Macaca fascicularis: one gene and its partner. The protein of the gene in region 1 purifies or fractionates together with the protein of each later gene. This does not show direct contact. Links are inferred from orthologs where the notes say so. Each region holds a gene or a part of one and is shown on either strand. Other genes may lie near its edges.

Region 1 (7,936 bases):
CCTGGGCGACAGTGAGACTCTGACTCAAAAAAAAAAAAAAAAAAAAAAAAGAAAAGAAAGAAAGAAAGAAAAAAGAAAAAAAAAAAGGAACACAAGCTTTGGAGCAGGTCTGCTATTCATACCCAAATACCTCCCCTTAATCTCTTTCGGTCTCATTTACAAGGTCCAGCTCCAGAGGAATGGAGTCAGTGTTGTGAAGTAAGAAAGTTAATATTTCATTTATATAGGCGAAGGGGTGGCCAGCCCCTCCACACCTGTGGGTGTCAGGTGGAACCAGAGACTTGAGAAAATATAGAAGAGAGACAAAGTAGAGAGAAAGAAAAGTGGGTCCAGCGGCACTCAGCATACAGAGGAACCGCACTGGCACTGGTCTCTGAGTCCCTTCAGTATTTATGGATCATTATCTCTACCATCTCGGAGAGGGGGATGTGGCAGAACAATAGGGTAATAGTCAGGAGAGGGTCAGCAGGAAAACATGTGAACAAAGGTCTCTGTGTCATAAATAAGTTTAAGTAAAGGTGCTGTGCCGTGATGTGCACACACACAAACATCTCGGTGCAATAAAAAGCAGTATTGCCGCCAGCATGTCTCACCTCCAGCCCTAAGGCTGTTTTCTCCTATCTCAGTAAATAGAACATACAATGGGGTTTTACACGGAGACATTCTATTCTCATGGACATGCAGGAGACAGATGCCTTCCTCTTAACTACAAAGAGGCCTCCCTCTTTCACTAATCCTCCTCGGCACGGACCCTTTCCAGGTGTTGGGCTGAGAGACCATCAGGCCTTTCCCTTCCCAGGAGGCCATATCTCAGGCTATCACATGGGAAGAAAACTTGGACAATACCTGGCTTTCCTAGGCAGAGGTCCCTGTGGCCTTCCGCAGTGTATTGTGTCCCTGGGTACTTGAGATTAGAGAATGGTGATGACTTTTAACAAGCATACTGCCTTCAAGCACTTTTTTAACAAAGCACATCCTGCATAGCCCTAAATCCCTTAAACCTTGAGTCAACCCAGCACCTGTCTCTGCACATGTGCTGTACACATGGCTTGGGGCTAGGGTTGCAGATTAACAGCAAGTTGAGGCAGAAGAATTTCTCTTAGTACAGAACAAAATAGAGTCTCTTATGTCTACTTCTTTCTATATAGACACAGTAACAGTCTGATCTCTTTCCCCACATATAGGCAAGCACACAGGACTTTTTAGCAGGATTACATTTTTCATAGAAGATTGGTACATAGTTATAGTAATTTGGTTGGCTATAGACAATGTTTCTTTTTGGGAAAAGTACATGTAACTTTTTTTTTTTCAATGTTTTTTGATTTGGAGTCTGGCACTGTTGCCTGAGCTGGAGTGCAGTGGCACGATCTTGGCTCACTGCAACCTCCTCCTCCCAGGTTCAAGGGATTCTTCTGCCTCAGTCTCCCAAGTAGCTGGGATTACAGGCACCTGCCACCACGCCCGGCTAATTTTTTGTATTTTTTTTTTCTTTTTTTTTGAGACGAAGTCTCTCTCTGTGGCCCAGGCTGGAGTGCAGTGGCCAGATCTCAGATCACTGCAAGCTCCGCCTCCCGGGTTCACGCGGTTCTCCTGCCTCAGCCTCCCGAGTAGCTGGGACTACAGGCGCCCGCCACCTTGCCTGGCTATTTTTTTGTATTTTTTAGTAGAGACGGGGTTTCAACGTCTTAGCCAGGATGGTCTCGATCTCCTGACCTTGTGATCCACCCGTTTCGGCCTCCCAAAGTGCTGGGATTACAGGCTTGAGCCACCGCGCCCGGCCCCAATTTTTTGTATTTTTAGTAGAGATGGGGTTTCACTATGTTGGCCAGGCTGGTCTTGAACTTCTGACCTTGTGATTCACATGTAACTTTTTTTTTTTTTGAGAGGGAATCTTGCTCTGTCTCCCAGACTGGAGTGCAGTGGCACGATCTCGGCTCACTGCAACCTCTGCCTCCCGGGTTCAAGCAATTCTCCTGCCCCAGTCTCCCAAGTAGCCGGGATTACAGTCGTGAGCCATGGTGCCGGGGGTATGTAACATTTTTTTAACAGAGGATGAAATAGTCATGGATTTCCTGCACTCCAGCCTGGGTGACACAGCGAGACTCCCTCTCAAAAAAAAGAAAGTGAATTAATCTATAATCTGAGAACAGAAGTTGTAAACTATATGTGACTCACAGTCATATCTCTCTCGAGGCTTAAAATATTTTTTGGGATTGCAATAGCTTTTAAATTTTTTCTTTCTCTCTCTCTCTTTCTTTCGTTCTTTCTTAGTGTTGCTCTGTTGCCAGGCTGGAGTGCAGTGGCGCGATCTCAGCTCACCGCAGCCTCCGCCCCCCGGGTTCAAGCGATTTTCCTGCCTCAGCCTCCTGAGTAGCTGGGACTACAGGCACATGCCACCACGCCCGGCTAATTTTTTGTATTTTTAGTAGAGTCGAGGTTTCGCCGTGTTAGCAAGGATGGTCTCAATCTCCTGACCCCATGATCTGCCCGCCTCCGCCTTCCAAAGTGCTGGGATTACAGGCGTAAACCACTGCGCTCAGCCTAAATTTCATTATTTTCTGTAGTTTCCTGGCCTTTCGACTAAGGCTCATGTAAATTTTTTGTTATTTCTACACCAATTTCTGTAGATTATTATGAGAATTAAGGGAGATAATTATATAAAGGGCTTAACACAGTGTCTGGCATTTAGGAAGAAAGCAGTAAGTGGTAGCTATTATTTATTATTATTTTTTGTGATGGAGTTTCGCTTTTGTTGCCCAGGCTGGAGTGCAGTGGCCTCCCAGGTTCAAGCAATTCAGAGAGTTGCTGGCCGGGCACAGTGGCTCACGCCTGTAATTCCAGCACTTTTGGAGGCCGAGGTGGGTGGATCACCTAAGGTTGGGAGTTTGAGACTAGCCTGACCAACATGGAGAAACCCCATCTCTACTAAAAACACAAAATTGGCCGGGCGCTGTGACTCACGCCTGTAATTCCAGCACTTTGGGAGGCTGAGGAGGGCGGATCACAAGGTCAGGATATCAAGACCAGCCTGGCTAACCCGGTGAAACCCCGTCACTACTAAAAATACAAAAAATTAGCCGGGCGCGGTGGTGGGCGCCTGTAGTCCCAACTACTGGGGAGGCTGAGGCAGGAGAATGGCCCGAACCCGGGAGGCGGAGCTTGCAGTGAGCCGAGATCGCGCCACTGCACTCCAGCCTGGGAGACGGAGCCAGATCCGTCTCAAAACAAAAAAAAGAGAGTTGTGGTTTGATGGCCGGTGGGGGGGCGGGGCGGTGGTGAGGGGCGGGGCTTAGTGGTTCACGCCCACGGCTACAAGGCCCAATCAGACCCGTGGAGCAGGTGGAGTTCCGCCCTCGCTGAGGAGGTGGAGTTCCGCTCTCAACGACGCAGCAGGCGCGGAACTGGGGTTGCGGCGGCTAAGTGTGTTTCCGGTAGATTCCCAGGGGCGGTCGGAGGTGTGGACTGTTCCTGCCTTCATGCTCTGGGAAGATGTTCTACCATGTGAGCAGGGCCCAGGGTGGCGGCAAGGGCTGGGTGGAAAGGAGGAGCAAGGCCAGGCGCCGGCGCGAGGCTCCCCTTGTCGTCTGATAAGCTCCCAGCGCGTGGCCTGGTCGCCATCCCTCTTTTCTCCGCAGATCTCCCTAGAGCACGAAATCCTGCTGCACCCGCGCTACTTCGGCCCCAACTTGCTCAACACGGTGAAGCAGAAGCTCTTCACCGAAGTGGAGGGGACCTGCACAGGGAAGTGAGTGCCGAGCTCACCGTGCCGCCAGATCGTTCGATGCGCACACGGGTCGCTATACCTGCAAACCCTCCGCAACTCCTATTTAGTCCTGCCACCCACTCTAGGGACCCCGCTCACCCTCTCAGGCAGCCAGTTGCTTCCTGCTTTGGGTTCCCAGGGCGCCCTCTGCAATGCTGGACAATAAGACTTCCTTCCCTCAGCTGAGATTGGTCATTCATTCATTTACTCCTCAGACATTTTAAAAACACTTGGTGTGTGCCAGGACCCGTGTTGGGCTCAGAACAAGGTAGAATGGGAACAAGATAGAATGAGGCCAGCTCTTGTGGAGCTCACAGTGTAGTCATTGTTCCTGTGTCTCCTCTCACTCTGTCATTCTGCTGGTTTTCTCTTATCCCCTGTGTCCAGGGACCACACACCGTGGGCCTCTATATATCTTCTGAATGGATGACCAGAAAAAGTGGATCGAAAGTTTGGGGGAGGAAGGAAGTAGACTGGGACTTGACCATCTCTGGGCTTTGCACTGAGGGCCTTCTGTGATATTAATGAGCTGGGACCCAGCCCAGGGCAGTGGAGTACTTGGGCCTCCAGCATCAGAAAAACCTGCAGGAACATGCAGATTCCTGAGCCTCCTTATTCCCTACAGAATCAAGACTCTGTGAGGCAGACCTGAGAATCTGCATTTTAAGAAGATGATTCTCAGGCATCCCGAAGATTGAGATCTGTTTCCTCAAGGACTCCAGCCTTCTTGTACATTTACTGTGAAATTACCAGAACAGCATTTGGTCTTATACATACTGATCTGTGTTCTTTTTTTTTTTTTTTTTTTTTTGAGACGGAGTCTCGCTCTGTGGCCCAGGCTGGAGTGCAGTGGCCTGATCTCAGCTCACCGCAAGCTCCGCCTCCCGGGTTCAGGCCATTCTCCTGCCTCAGCTTCCCGAGTAGCTGGGACTACAGGCGCCTGCCACCTCGCCTGGCTAGTTTTTTGTATTTTTTAGTAGAGACGGGGTTTCACCGGGTTAGCCAGGATGGTCTCGATCTCCTGACGTCGTGATCCGCCCGTCTCGGCCTCCCAAAGTGCTGGGATTACAGGCTTGAGCCACCGCGCCCAGCCCATACTGATCTGTGTTCTGTCTTCTCTTGGTCATTAAGCTCTCTGGGAGCAGAGGTGCTATCTACTTGTCCTTTTGCTCTCCCCGACACTACTCCCAAGAGCTCAGTGACTTTTATTGCAGATGTCTCTAGAGGCTCTTGGACACACAATGTCTTTCTGTTTCTCATCCTCCTTGCAGGTATGGCTTTGTAATTGCTGTCACCACCATTGACAATATTGGTGCTGGTGTGATCCAGCCAGGCCGAGGCTTTGTCCTTTATCCAGTTAAGTACAAGGCCATTGTTTTCCGGCCCTTTAAAGGGGAGGTCGTGGATGCTGTTGTAACTCAGGTCAACAAGGTGAGACCATACGTAGGGGAGGCATTGGGGTAGTCTCTCAGTAGATCTGGGTTGGGTCCTGGCTCCACTTCATAACTGTGCCTTCAGCTAAGTCACTTTACTTCTTTTTTTTTTTTTGAGACGGAGTGTTGCTCTGTCGCCCAGGCTGGAGTGCAGTGGTGCCATCTTGGCTCACTGAAACCTCTGCCTTCTGGGTTCCAGTGAGTCTCTTGCCTCGGCCTCCCAAGTAGTTGGGACTAAAGGCAGGTGCCACCATTGCCGGCTAAGTTTTTGTATTTTTTTAGTAGAGATAGGGTTTTGCCATGTTGCCCAGGCTGATCTCGAACTCCTGAGCTCAATCTGCCTTCCTCGGCCTCCCAAAGCGCTAGGATTACAGGTGTGAGCTACCACGCCTAGCCATCACTTTACTTCTTGTGCTGCACTTTCAAATTGTATGGTAATCTTCCCTGCCCAACTCAGAGGGCAAGAGTCAACATTAATAGTCATAACAATAAAAGCCTGTGTTGATTGAGTAGTGACTGTGGGCCAGGTGAAGTGCAGAGACTCACAATGACTAAAAGGTGGGTGCTTTCCTTTTTTTTTTTTTTTTAAGATGGAGTTTAGCTCTGTCGCCAGACTGGAGTGCAGTGGCACAATCTTGGCTCACTACAACCTCCGCCTCTGGGTTCAAGTGATTCTCCTGCCTCAGCCTCCCAGGTAGCTGGGACTATAGGCATGCGCCACCACGCTCAGCTAATTTTTGTATTTTTAGTAGAGATGAGGTTTCTCCATGTTGGTCAGGCTGGTCTCAAACTCCTGACCTCAGGTGATCTGCCTGCCTCAGCCACCGAAAGTGCTGGGATTGTAGGCGTGAGCCACTGCCCCCGGCCAGTGGGTGCTTTTTACAGAAGCTGAAGCTTAGAAGAAGTTAAGTGTATTGGCCAAGATCATGTGGCCAACAGGTGTTCAAATCTTGGACTAACAGGCCTAAGCTCTTTAATACTTTAAAATGAAAGGTTAGGCTGGGCATGGTGGCTCACATCTGTAATCCCAGCACTTTGGGAGGCTGAGGTGGGCAGATCACCTGAGGTTGGGAGTTCAAGACCAGCCTGGCCAATATGATGAAACCCTATCTCTACTAAAAATACAAAAATTAGCCAGGCATCGTGGCATGTGCATGTAGTCCCAGCTACTCGGGAGGCTGAGGCATGAGAATCACTTGAACGTGGGAGGTGGAGGTTGCAGTGAGTTGAAATTGCACCACTGCACTCCAGAGTGAACAACAGAGCGAGATTCTGTCTCAAAATAAATACATAAATAAATACAAATGAAAGCTTAAAAAAAAAGAGAAGAGGGCTGGGTGTGCTGGCTTACACCTATAATCCCAGTGCTTTGGGAGGCAGAAGTGGGAAGATTGCTTGAGCCTAGGAGTTTGAGACCAGCCTGGGCAACATAGCAAGACTCTGTCTCTACAAAAAGTTTTAAAAAATTAGCCTAGCATGGTGGTGTGCACCTGTGGTCTCAGCTACTTGGAAGGCTGAGGTGGGAGGATTGCTTGAGCCCAGGAATTCAAAGGTACAGTGAGCTGTGATTACACCACTGCTTTCCAACCTGGGCAACAGTGAGAACCTGTCTCAAAATTTAGAAAGCAAAAAACAAAAACACAACACTTGAGGGGACAAAGAAAAGCAAGATCACTCTTTTTTTTTTTTTGAGACGGAGTCTTGCTCTGTTGCCAGGCTGGAGTACAATGGCGAGATCTGGCTCACTGCAACCTCCGCCTCCCGGGTTCAAACGATTCTCCTGCCTCAGTCTCTTGAGTAGCTGGGATTACAGGTGCGCTACCACACCCAGCTAATTTTTGTATTTTTAGCAGAGACAAGGTTTCACCATGTTGGTCAGGCTGGTCTTGAACTTGTGACCTCATGATCCACCCGCCTCGGCCCCCCAAAGTGCTGGGATTATAGGCATAAGCCACCGTGCATGACCATAAGATCACTCATTTTTTTCTAGGTTGGACTCTTCACAGAAATTGGACCCATGTCTTGCTTCATCTCTCGACATGTAAGTCTAGGCACACTGGGTGGGGCTGAGGAAGAGAGATACCCATTCATTACCATCTACTGAAGCATCCTTTTAAAGTGCTACCCTAATCTCACTTTCCTTTCAGTCCATCCCTTCAGAGATGGAGTTTGATCCTAACTCCAACCCACCATGTTACAAGACAATGGATGAGGTAAGTGGACAGAAAGAAGTCAGGAAGAGGAAGAGAGAATCAGTCATCCTGAGGGAGAATATTGGCCTGAGGATGGCCGAGCACAGATGGTCCCTGAATTACCATGGCTTGATTCATGATTTTATGACTTTACGATGATGCGAAAGTGATGTGCATTCAATATGCCCCCGGGCTTACAGTGAAGTAGTTGTGATGTAACCTCTCATAAACTGAGGAGCATCTGTACACTGTTCCCTCCTCTCCCCAGGATATTGTGATTCAGCAGGACGATGAGATCCGCTTAAAGATTGTGGGGACCCGTGTGGACAAGAATGACATTGTGAGTCTTTTCCCCACCTCTACCTATACCAGGCTGAGCGGAGAGCTGTTGGATTTCTTGCCACCTAGTTTCAGGGGGTTCTATGCTCTTCTGTCAGGAAGAAGGGATGGATGGGCAGAAGGCCTGGGGCTGCGGGGTAGAGGTTGGTTCTGTGCTCATCTTGGCTTCACTTTCTTTTTTTTTTTTTTTTTTTTGAGACGGAGTCTCG
Region 2 (8,088 bases), on another chromosome or scaffold:
GCCCAGGTTTCTGTCCGTGACAGAGACCTTAAGATGTTCACGGGACAGGCTGTCTCATATCATCACCCTGTTAGATCTAACATAGGTAGATCCAGCCCCAGGCTGTAATCTCACATAAACTCATAGGGGACGTTACAGGATCCCCACAAGTTTTCTTATCAGCTCAAAAACGCTGCCCCCTCGTGCCTCTTCTGGAGCCATCTCTCCATCTTTCAAGACAGCGTGGTGGTGTTCAGAGTTGGAAGGACTCTAAGGACTGTCACTTAATGACTCTGGGTAAGTCCCTAACTTTGGTTCCACCACCTCCCATTAAGTCAGTAAGAAACAAAAGCATTTTGTCCTCTGCTTGCCCCAGGAGACACCACTGAGCAGCACCTACTACCTGATGCTGCTGGCTTCTGCACCTGCGAAAGGGGAGACTGGCTCTCCCACTCACAAGGCTGTTGGGAGGAAGCAGAACTCTCTGACGGGTGCCACACAAACTAACAAAGCATACACCTTGGTTTAGAATTTTGTTAGCTGAGAAACTTCAAACAATGTACCTTGCAAAGATATATTAAAAACAAAACAAAACAAAACAAAAAACCCTTCTAGAACAATTGACATTAGACTCTGCTGTCCCTTCCAGGATCTGAACTTAGATCTGGAAGGAGGTTTATGGGGTGCATACACCCGTTCCCAATCCCACCCTGTGGACAAGAAATCTGCAGGAAAGTCAAGGTAAGCAACATCCAACCTTCCAATTCTTAGGTGGGAAAATTATCTTTCTTGCTGGGTCTCTCTGCAGCGTGCCTTGGTCACCTCCCCCTTGGTCTCTGTTGCCTGAAGAGCTGTAAGAAAGCAAGCAGCTCCCAAGGACGTTTCCCACTCAGAGCCTGACAGCTGGAGGCACTGACACAAGCAGCCAGGGCTAGTTCAAGTCCCTCTTTGCTGCAGGACCTTCTCAGGCCTCTCCCTGCTCTGAACACAGGACATTCACCTGCAGTTAGCAAGCCCTGCCCTGTGCTGTTATTTTATTTGTCATGAGGATGCAGTACACCGTCTACTATCTGTTGGACCTTTCCTCTAAAAGCTAAGTTTGTTAATCATCACTTAACATCCATATTCCTCACAGTTCTACTGAGTAGCGTCTCAAGTCACCTGTGACTCCTTCCCTCTCCAAAGTTCTGCATTAGAATATTCCACGACTGTACTTTTGGGCATAAAGCAGTTACAAAGGCTTCCTAGTAAAATGGGGTTCACATGTAGCTCCTCAGGCACAGGTCCAAGATGGATGCTAGGGTTCAGTCAGTTTAAGCAGCAGATAGAAAGTGTGCCAAATGCTTCTGCTCTAGAGGGAGAAGACAAGACATGAAACATCCCAAGAAGCTTGTGTGCCGCACAGGAAGATAAAGCTCGTACCTCCACAAAACAAAGAGTGTCCCAGGCAGATGGGAACCGAATCACCTGCTGAGGAGACTGCTCACTACGACTGCTGTGCGAGAGTAAGACACAGTCCTTCACTTTACCCACAATGCAGCGAGAGTAAGCTGGAACAATCATGCACACACTGCGCTTCGGAGAGATTTTCAACACCCTGGGCTGAAAGGGTGCACAACGAAAAGAAAAGCTCCGACTGCTCTGAAAAACCGTTAGTAGCCTTTTGAAAAGGAGAGTAGAGGATTTACTTTATTACTGAATTGGCAGAAATTATTAACTCTGAGCCTGCTGCTATAGGAATTCAAATGCATACTCCAGGGGCTAAAAGAGCACAGAAACAACTTTCCTCGTAAGAATTTCTTTGTCAAGGAGATGGTTGGTAAACACGACTTCGTCACTTCCCTAACTTTCCAGATACTTTTGGATATTAGGTCAGTTCCTGACACTGATTTTGCAAGCAATAGCTAAGTTTGTTAACCATAATTGCATGCCCATAAAGGTAAGCATTACATGACACAATTCTCTGCCGCTTCTCTCAGAAGAGGTTTAATTTTAGTGTTGGCTCTTCAACACTGTCCCCGTTTTTTTTTTTTTTTTCCACGAGCATCTTAAATATGTGTCAACTAAATATCCAGTAGTGGAATTCATCATTGGGCAGGGCAGAGAGGAGAGACCGGCACACCGGCAGCACCTGTGCTGGAGCCACCTGCTCTCACCTGAGCCCACATTGATCCGAGAGAAACTGCAGACACACTGACATGCCCAGCTCTCACCACCACCTCCGCCAGCAAACCCCGTCCACTGCAGCTCTGTTTCTGCATGGTGTTTGCTCAAAGCGAACGGTCCTGTCAAACGGCCCATAACAGCGCTCAGAGGATCAATCACAAAGGAGGCACTTTCCTCATTGCTCATAATCAAGAAGATAATTTCCCAAATCCATCCACCCCATGTTAGTAGGACTCTGCCCAAGATCATCACCAAAGTCCTTGAAAATAAGCGATATGAAATGCAAATTCCATGTCAGGTAACATAACCAGGGACCTATATAACATTTCTGCATGAGCTGAGACACACAAAACTAAGATTTGTTCCGTCCTCTTTTCTTCTGCCTCAAGGAACCCTTTTGATTAGAGCCTTACACAATACTGGAAACTGTGAGGTCACTGGAGTGACCTAATCTACAACACTGTGATCGCCTGTCAAAGTGCCGCCTGATCCCAAAGCTCTCTGAGGTGGCATTAAGGATCAGTGCTAATATCTCAGCAACCTCTCAGACTCTCCAGAAGGAAAGCGAGTGCGTGAAATTCAAAAAATTACCTTCTGGCTCCACAAAAGATGTACAAGTCACCAAGGCTATTTTTTTCATGTCACTAGTTTTATCCTCTAATATTTCAATCTTAAAATTGCAGTGGCACCAGTTACTGCAAAAAGGACATTCGAGAAGGTTTTATATAGCTTGTGCCCACTCCACCCCCAAAGTCATAACAAAAATGTATAATATAACATTTGTTAAAGACAATTACCATCAAGTCAATGTTAATGGGACCTGAATACCAGGGATAAGAGAAGTACTTATATCACAGCAAAAACAGGGCCTTAGAAAAAAACTCATAACCCTTCAATCTTACCAAAAATTGTATAAGTCAACGTGAATTATTCCAAAAACATCATCAGAGTTAAGCATACTGCTAAGAGTAATCAGCCAAGCTCATGTAAAACTACAAGTAAAAACCCCTACGGTGAGAGAAACCTGAGTTACCTGGCCAAGCCAAAGATGATTTTTTTCTTCCATTCACAGCATATTAAAAAGTGATCTCAATGGCCACTTCCTGGGAAGCAGGGCCTCACTTCATACCTGGATGCTACTGCATCTTCCCACCGCCCTGCTCCTGCCGCGGGAAGTATGACCCCTACTGCCAAGAAACTCTTGGAGAAAATATGAGAATAGATCAGTCTTCCCACCCCCACCCCACCCCCGCAACAACACACATACACACACACAGATACACAGCCACACATACGGAGGGGGAAGGGGCGGTCCCTCCGCCAACAGTAGCCTCAGCAAAGGGGCACCCGAGGAAGCGACACCCTGGAGTTAACCCTGACAGTCTGGGTCAATAGCCACCAGGCTGAGACCCCCAGGTGAGGGAAAGAGCCTACTGAAACAGGGCTCTTGGGTAAACGGGAGAGAAAAGTCCTCTTTAATTCACTACCCAAAAAAATGGAGCTCTGGCTTGGTCAGAGACGCAATGGGTACTGAGGCCCAGAAAGGCAACAGGAAGGATCCCACCCTCCCCGAAATCATCTGTCGCTGGCAGCGACCCCAAGAGGGTTTTGGCGAAGGCGTGTCCAGTCACAGAAGGGAGACAGACTCTCCACGTACCCTGGGTACCCGGCCAGGGGCAAAACACACTGGGGGTTCTCTCCGAAGCCAGGAAGGTGCTGCCAGCCGGGAGGAGGGGGAAGGACTTCTCTCATAACCCAGAAGGCTAAGACATGGGAGACACAGGCTCCCCGAGTCATACCCCGGACACCAGTTGCTTCACAGCCCTTCTCCCTCCCCTCCCCCGCTCCGGGAGGGCTTCCCGGGGGTCTCAGGTCCCGGAGGGAGGGCGATGCAGGGCAGCTTCGTCCAGAGCAGTGAGGGTCATAGAGCTGGAGCAGAAAGGGGAGATAAACTCTACCCTTAGCCCCCCGTCTGCTTCCTCCGCCCAGGCCGCACGGAAGCCTCGGCCTCACGTACCAAGCGCTGCCGGGCTGCCCGACCTGCCCCCGGCCCGGGCCCGAGGAGTGAGAGGCAGAGATGGCAGCGGCCCTCGAGGGGAGGTGGGCGCCAGACGGGTCCCCCGAAGCCCGGTGGGCGAGGGGGACAGGAGAGGGGGAGGGTCCCAGGCCCATGCGGCCTCCGTCCCAGCTCGCGCGGCGGGTACTTACGTTGCTCTGGGGGTCGATGGCCTGCAGCAGCCGGTCCCTGATCTGCTGCGGAGACGCCGGAGCCGCTGTCATTGCCTGGGCGAGGCGGGGGTTGCGGCCGGGCCAGCGGGCGGGCGGGCTGAGGCGGGGGACGGGGGTCACTCACTCGCCGGCCTCCGGGAGCCGGAGCCGCATGTTCCCCGCGGCGCCGGAGGGTTAGGTGCGCGCGGGGTGGCGGAGAGGGGAGCCGGGGCCGGGTCTCGGTCCCGGGCCGCCGCCGCCACCGGAGGAGGAGGAGCCGCCGGAGCCGCCGCCGCTTGCTGCCGCCGCCTCGAGAACCAAACTCCAGTGAGCTGCCCCCGCGCGGAGTACTCTGGGTAGTCCGCGCCGCACGCAGCGTCGGCGCCACGCTGAGGAGGTTGGGAGATGGGACGGGCGGAGACGCCAGGCATGGGCGGGGCTGCCCGTGCGCCCCGCCCCGCGCCTCCGCGCACGCGCGCGCAGGCGCACTCACCCGCCTGTGCCGCCCCGCCCCGCCGCCCGGCCTAGGCAGCCGTTGGGAGGAGGTTGGGCGGGGCAACGGTCGCTGCCTGGAGACCCCGCCCCCGCCCGGGTCGCGGGGCGGGGCTTTCTGACGGAAGCGCGCGCGCAAAGAGTCCTTGAACCCGGACGCTCGCGGCGGCTACCTCAGGGCAGGGAGGGCGGCGGGAAAATCCTTCCTCTAGGAGAGCCTTCCCGGCGCGTGACTGGGGGATGAGAGTCGCAGGCTGAGCAGCTGCCGAAGTTTTTGTGAGGGCGAGGGAAGCAGACGTCCACGTTGTGATTCTGCGCACGGAAGGGTCATCGGAGGAGTCCAGGGGTGTCGCCGCGGCCGCCCCCGCCCCTTAGAGAGTGTGGGAATGGGTGTGGTGACGGGCGGGGGTCTGCATCGCCACGCGCGACCCCGATCGCGAAAACGTGAGGCGGCAAAGAAGCCGCCCCCCGTAGCTGGGAACGCTGGAAAGCCGGAGGTTGCAAATCTGCGTCTACGCCGCGGCTTCTCCACCTCGGCGCCACTGGCATTTGGGCGATATTGCTCTGTCGTTGGGGCGGGTCCCGCGATCTGTCGAAAGTTGAGCGGCATTTCTGGCCTCAGAAGCGCCCCCTCCCCCAGTCTGCAGTCATTGCCGCCATCCCTTGTTGGGGCACAGTCCCCCCGCCCCGCTACCGGCAGAAAACCCCGTGATTGAAAGACCCTTCTACCCGCCTCTGCCTGGAGGTGCTGTAAAACTGAGATGCTCATTCTCTTAACCAAACACGTCACAGGAGGAAACGGAGGCCCAAGGTCACCTAGACTTCGGGGTTAAGCCCAGAACCGCAGGTGTCAAGTTTAAGGGCGCCCCTCCTCCCTCCACCCTACTTATTGCCTTCTGTAATTGCTCCCCTCTCTCTGGGAACTCTGTTGGAAATGCTGTTGTGAGACGGGGTGGAAAGGCAAGCTCGGCGGCCTCGGGAGAAATCTTTTTTTTCCCCACTGTTACAGGAAGACCTAGATTTAAAACAGGAGGAAGACGGCTGATGAGAACCACATGTGTGCCTTGGCGCTGCCTGGCACCTGTTAGTCTTGTATTTGTTGTGCTTCTGGGAAATGTTTTCATTTGCAAAAACGGCTGCTTCTGCACGTGGCTATAGTTGCGTGCTTCTGCACATGTGAAAAGTTTTACATCCACTTGGAGGAGAAAAGAAACACGGGCAAAACACTTGTCATTTACTGCTCCCAACCTCACCCCTCCCAGAATGCGGAGCATTGTGTATATGGTGTACATGGTCCAAGTTGGAAACTGGCCCATTCGGAGATAATTCTTTATCTCATTTCTGATAAGCAAAATAAACAAAGCCTTCCTCAGGCATATTCTGGTCTTGCCTTTCAATTTCTAACTCGGATGTACAGTATCTTTTTTTTTTTTTTTTTTTTAAATAAAGGATTACATAGGAGACAATTTATTTTGCATGGGTCAAGTTATTTTAAGAAACATTTGGGCGGGAGTGGTGGCTCAAGCCTGTAATCCCTGCACTTCAGCAGGCTGACGCGGGTGGATCACTTGAGCTCAGGAGTTCGAGACTAGCCTGGCCAACATGGTGAAACCCCATCTCTACAAAAAATACAAAAATTAGCTGGGCGTGGTGGCGCGCACCTGTAATCTTGGCTACTAGAGGGGGCTGAGGCAGGAGAATTGCTTGAACCCGGGAGGCAGAGGTTGCAGTGAGCCAAGATTGCACCACTGCACTCCGGGCTGGGCAACAGACTCTGTCTCAAATGAACAAAAACAAACAAAATGTGGGGCCAGCCATGGTGGCTTATGCCTGGTAGCTCATGCCTGTAATCCCAGCACTTTGGGAGGCCGAGGTGGGCAGATCACTTGCAGTCAGGAGTTCAAGACCTGCGTGGCCAGAATGGTGAAACCCCTTCTCTACCAAAAAATCAAAAATTAGCCGGGCATGGTGGCACCTGTAATCCCAGCTACTTGGAAGGCTGAGGCAAAAGAATTGTTTGAACCCAGGAGGCAGAGGCTTCAGTGAGCTGAGATCATGCCGCTGTACTCCAACCTGGGTGACAGAGCAAGACTGTCTTGAAAAATAAACATTGGAAAGTACTCAACTTACCTGTTTTTTAAAAACTAAGAAGCATTGACATGACTGAGTTCCTCAAGGGCACTGGCTCTTTTTGGTATCCCCAGTAGACAGAAAAATAATATTTGTGGAGTAAGTCAATGAAAGTTTCATCAAATACACGGTAGTGTTACACACACCCCCAGACACATGAATGCATTTCAGTTTCTACAGATCTGGTACACCATGGGTCTCAACAGCTATTTCCAGAATGAATGAAATACTTCATAAAATATAATACTATATACACCAGGATACACAAAACACACACGGATAGTTTTATTCCACATTTAATATATGTAAAAGGGTGCTTTTGTAAATGCAAAGATTGAATCAGATAACCACTGAACAGCAGTCTTGAAAACATTAGCAAGTTCTCTTAGGTCCAGGGTGGATACTGCAGTTCACTTAGCCAACTTTCTGCATTGAGACATCCTTGCCAGGAATCCTGTCAGTTATGCAAAGATGCGGCACAAGATAACTACTCTTGCTGTGATGGTTCGTCCTCAATGACAGGTCCCTTATAGTATTTAGGTACAACAAGGTCTTTTGTGCTTGGAATGCCCTTGAAAAAGCTGCCTCACCTGTTAGTGAGGGGAATCCCAAAGAGAAAGGGAGAGGAAGGGCTGGGTGCAGTGGCTCACACCTATAATCCCAGCACTTTGGGAGGCCGAGGTGAGCAGATCATTTGAGGTGAGGAGTTAAGAGACCAGCCTGGCAAACATGGTGAAACCCCACCTCTACTAAGAATACAAAAATTAGCTGGGCGTGATGGTGGGCACTTGTATTCCCAGCTACTTGGGAGGCAGAGGCAGAAGAATTGCTTGAACCCAGGAGGCGGAGGTTGCAGTGAGCCAAGAGCACACCACCTCACTCCAGCCTGGGTGACAGGGTGAGATTCCATCTCAAAAATAAAATAAAATAAAATAAATAGTAGAAAGGGAGAGGAAGTAGCTCAGAGTCCATGATTTGCTCTTGCCACGGGAAGAGGCAAAGAAGTTAGTGTCAGGAGGTCAAGTGCAGAGTATCTTCAGTCCAGCTGGATGGTAAGGGAGTAGGAGGATGTTTCTCCCTGGACTCACTGCTGTGGCCTAAGCAGGAACGGAA

Evidence for each region. Proteins that work in one complex are often made in the same cells at the same time.
Region 2: the proteins of POLR2G (region 1) and MED26 purify together in Homo sapiens (affinity purification with mass spectrometry; 6 studies listed by BioGRID and IntAct, counting the BioPlex papers as one, with this or other methods). This does not show direct contact. The link is inferred for Macaca fascicularis from reciprocal best matches to the Homo sapiens genes POLR2G and MED26.

What each region holds. Positions count from the first base shown.
Region 1 is NC_088388.1:11,290,090-11,298,025, reverse strand, and holds the start of POLR2G (DNA-directed RNA polymerase II subunit RPB7), read left to right. Parts: upstream 1-3,391; 5' UTR 3,392-3,476; coding exon 3,477-3,745; intron 3,746-5,034; coding exon 5,035-5,194; intron 5,195-7,186; coding exon 7,187-7,237; intron 7,238-7,343; coding exon 7,344-7,409; intron 7,410-7,656; coding exon 7,657-7,728; intron 7,729-7,936. UniProt on the Homo sapiens protein: Core component of RNA polymerase II (Pol II), a DNA-dependent RNA polymerase which synthesizes mRNA precursors and many functional non-coding RNAs using the four ribonucleoside triphosphates as substrates.
Region 2 is NC_088393.1:16,960,253-16,968,340, forward strand, and holds the start of MED26 (mediator of RNA polymerase II transcription subunit 26), read right to left. Parts: upstream 4,683-8,088; 5' UTR 4,426-4,682; coding exon 4,354-4,425; intron 1-4,353. UniProt on the Homo sapiens protein: Component of the Mediator complex, a coactivator involved in the regulated transcription of nearly all RNA polymerase II-dependent genes.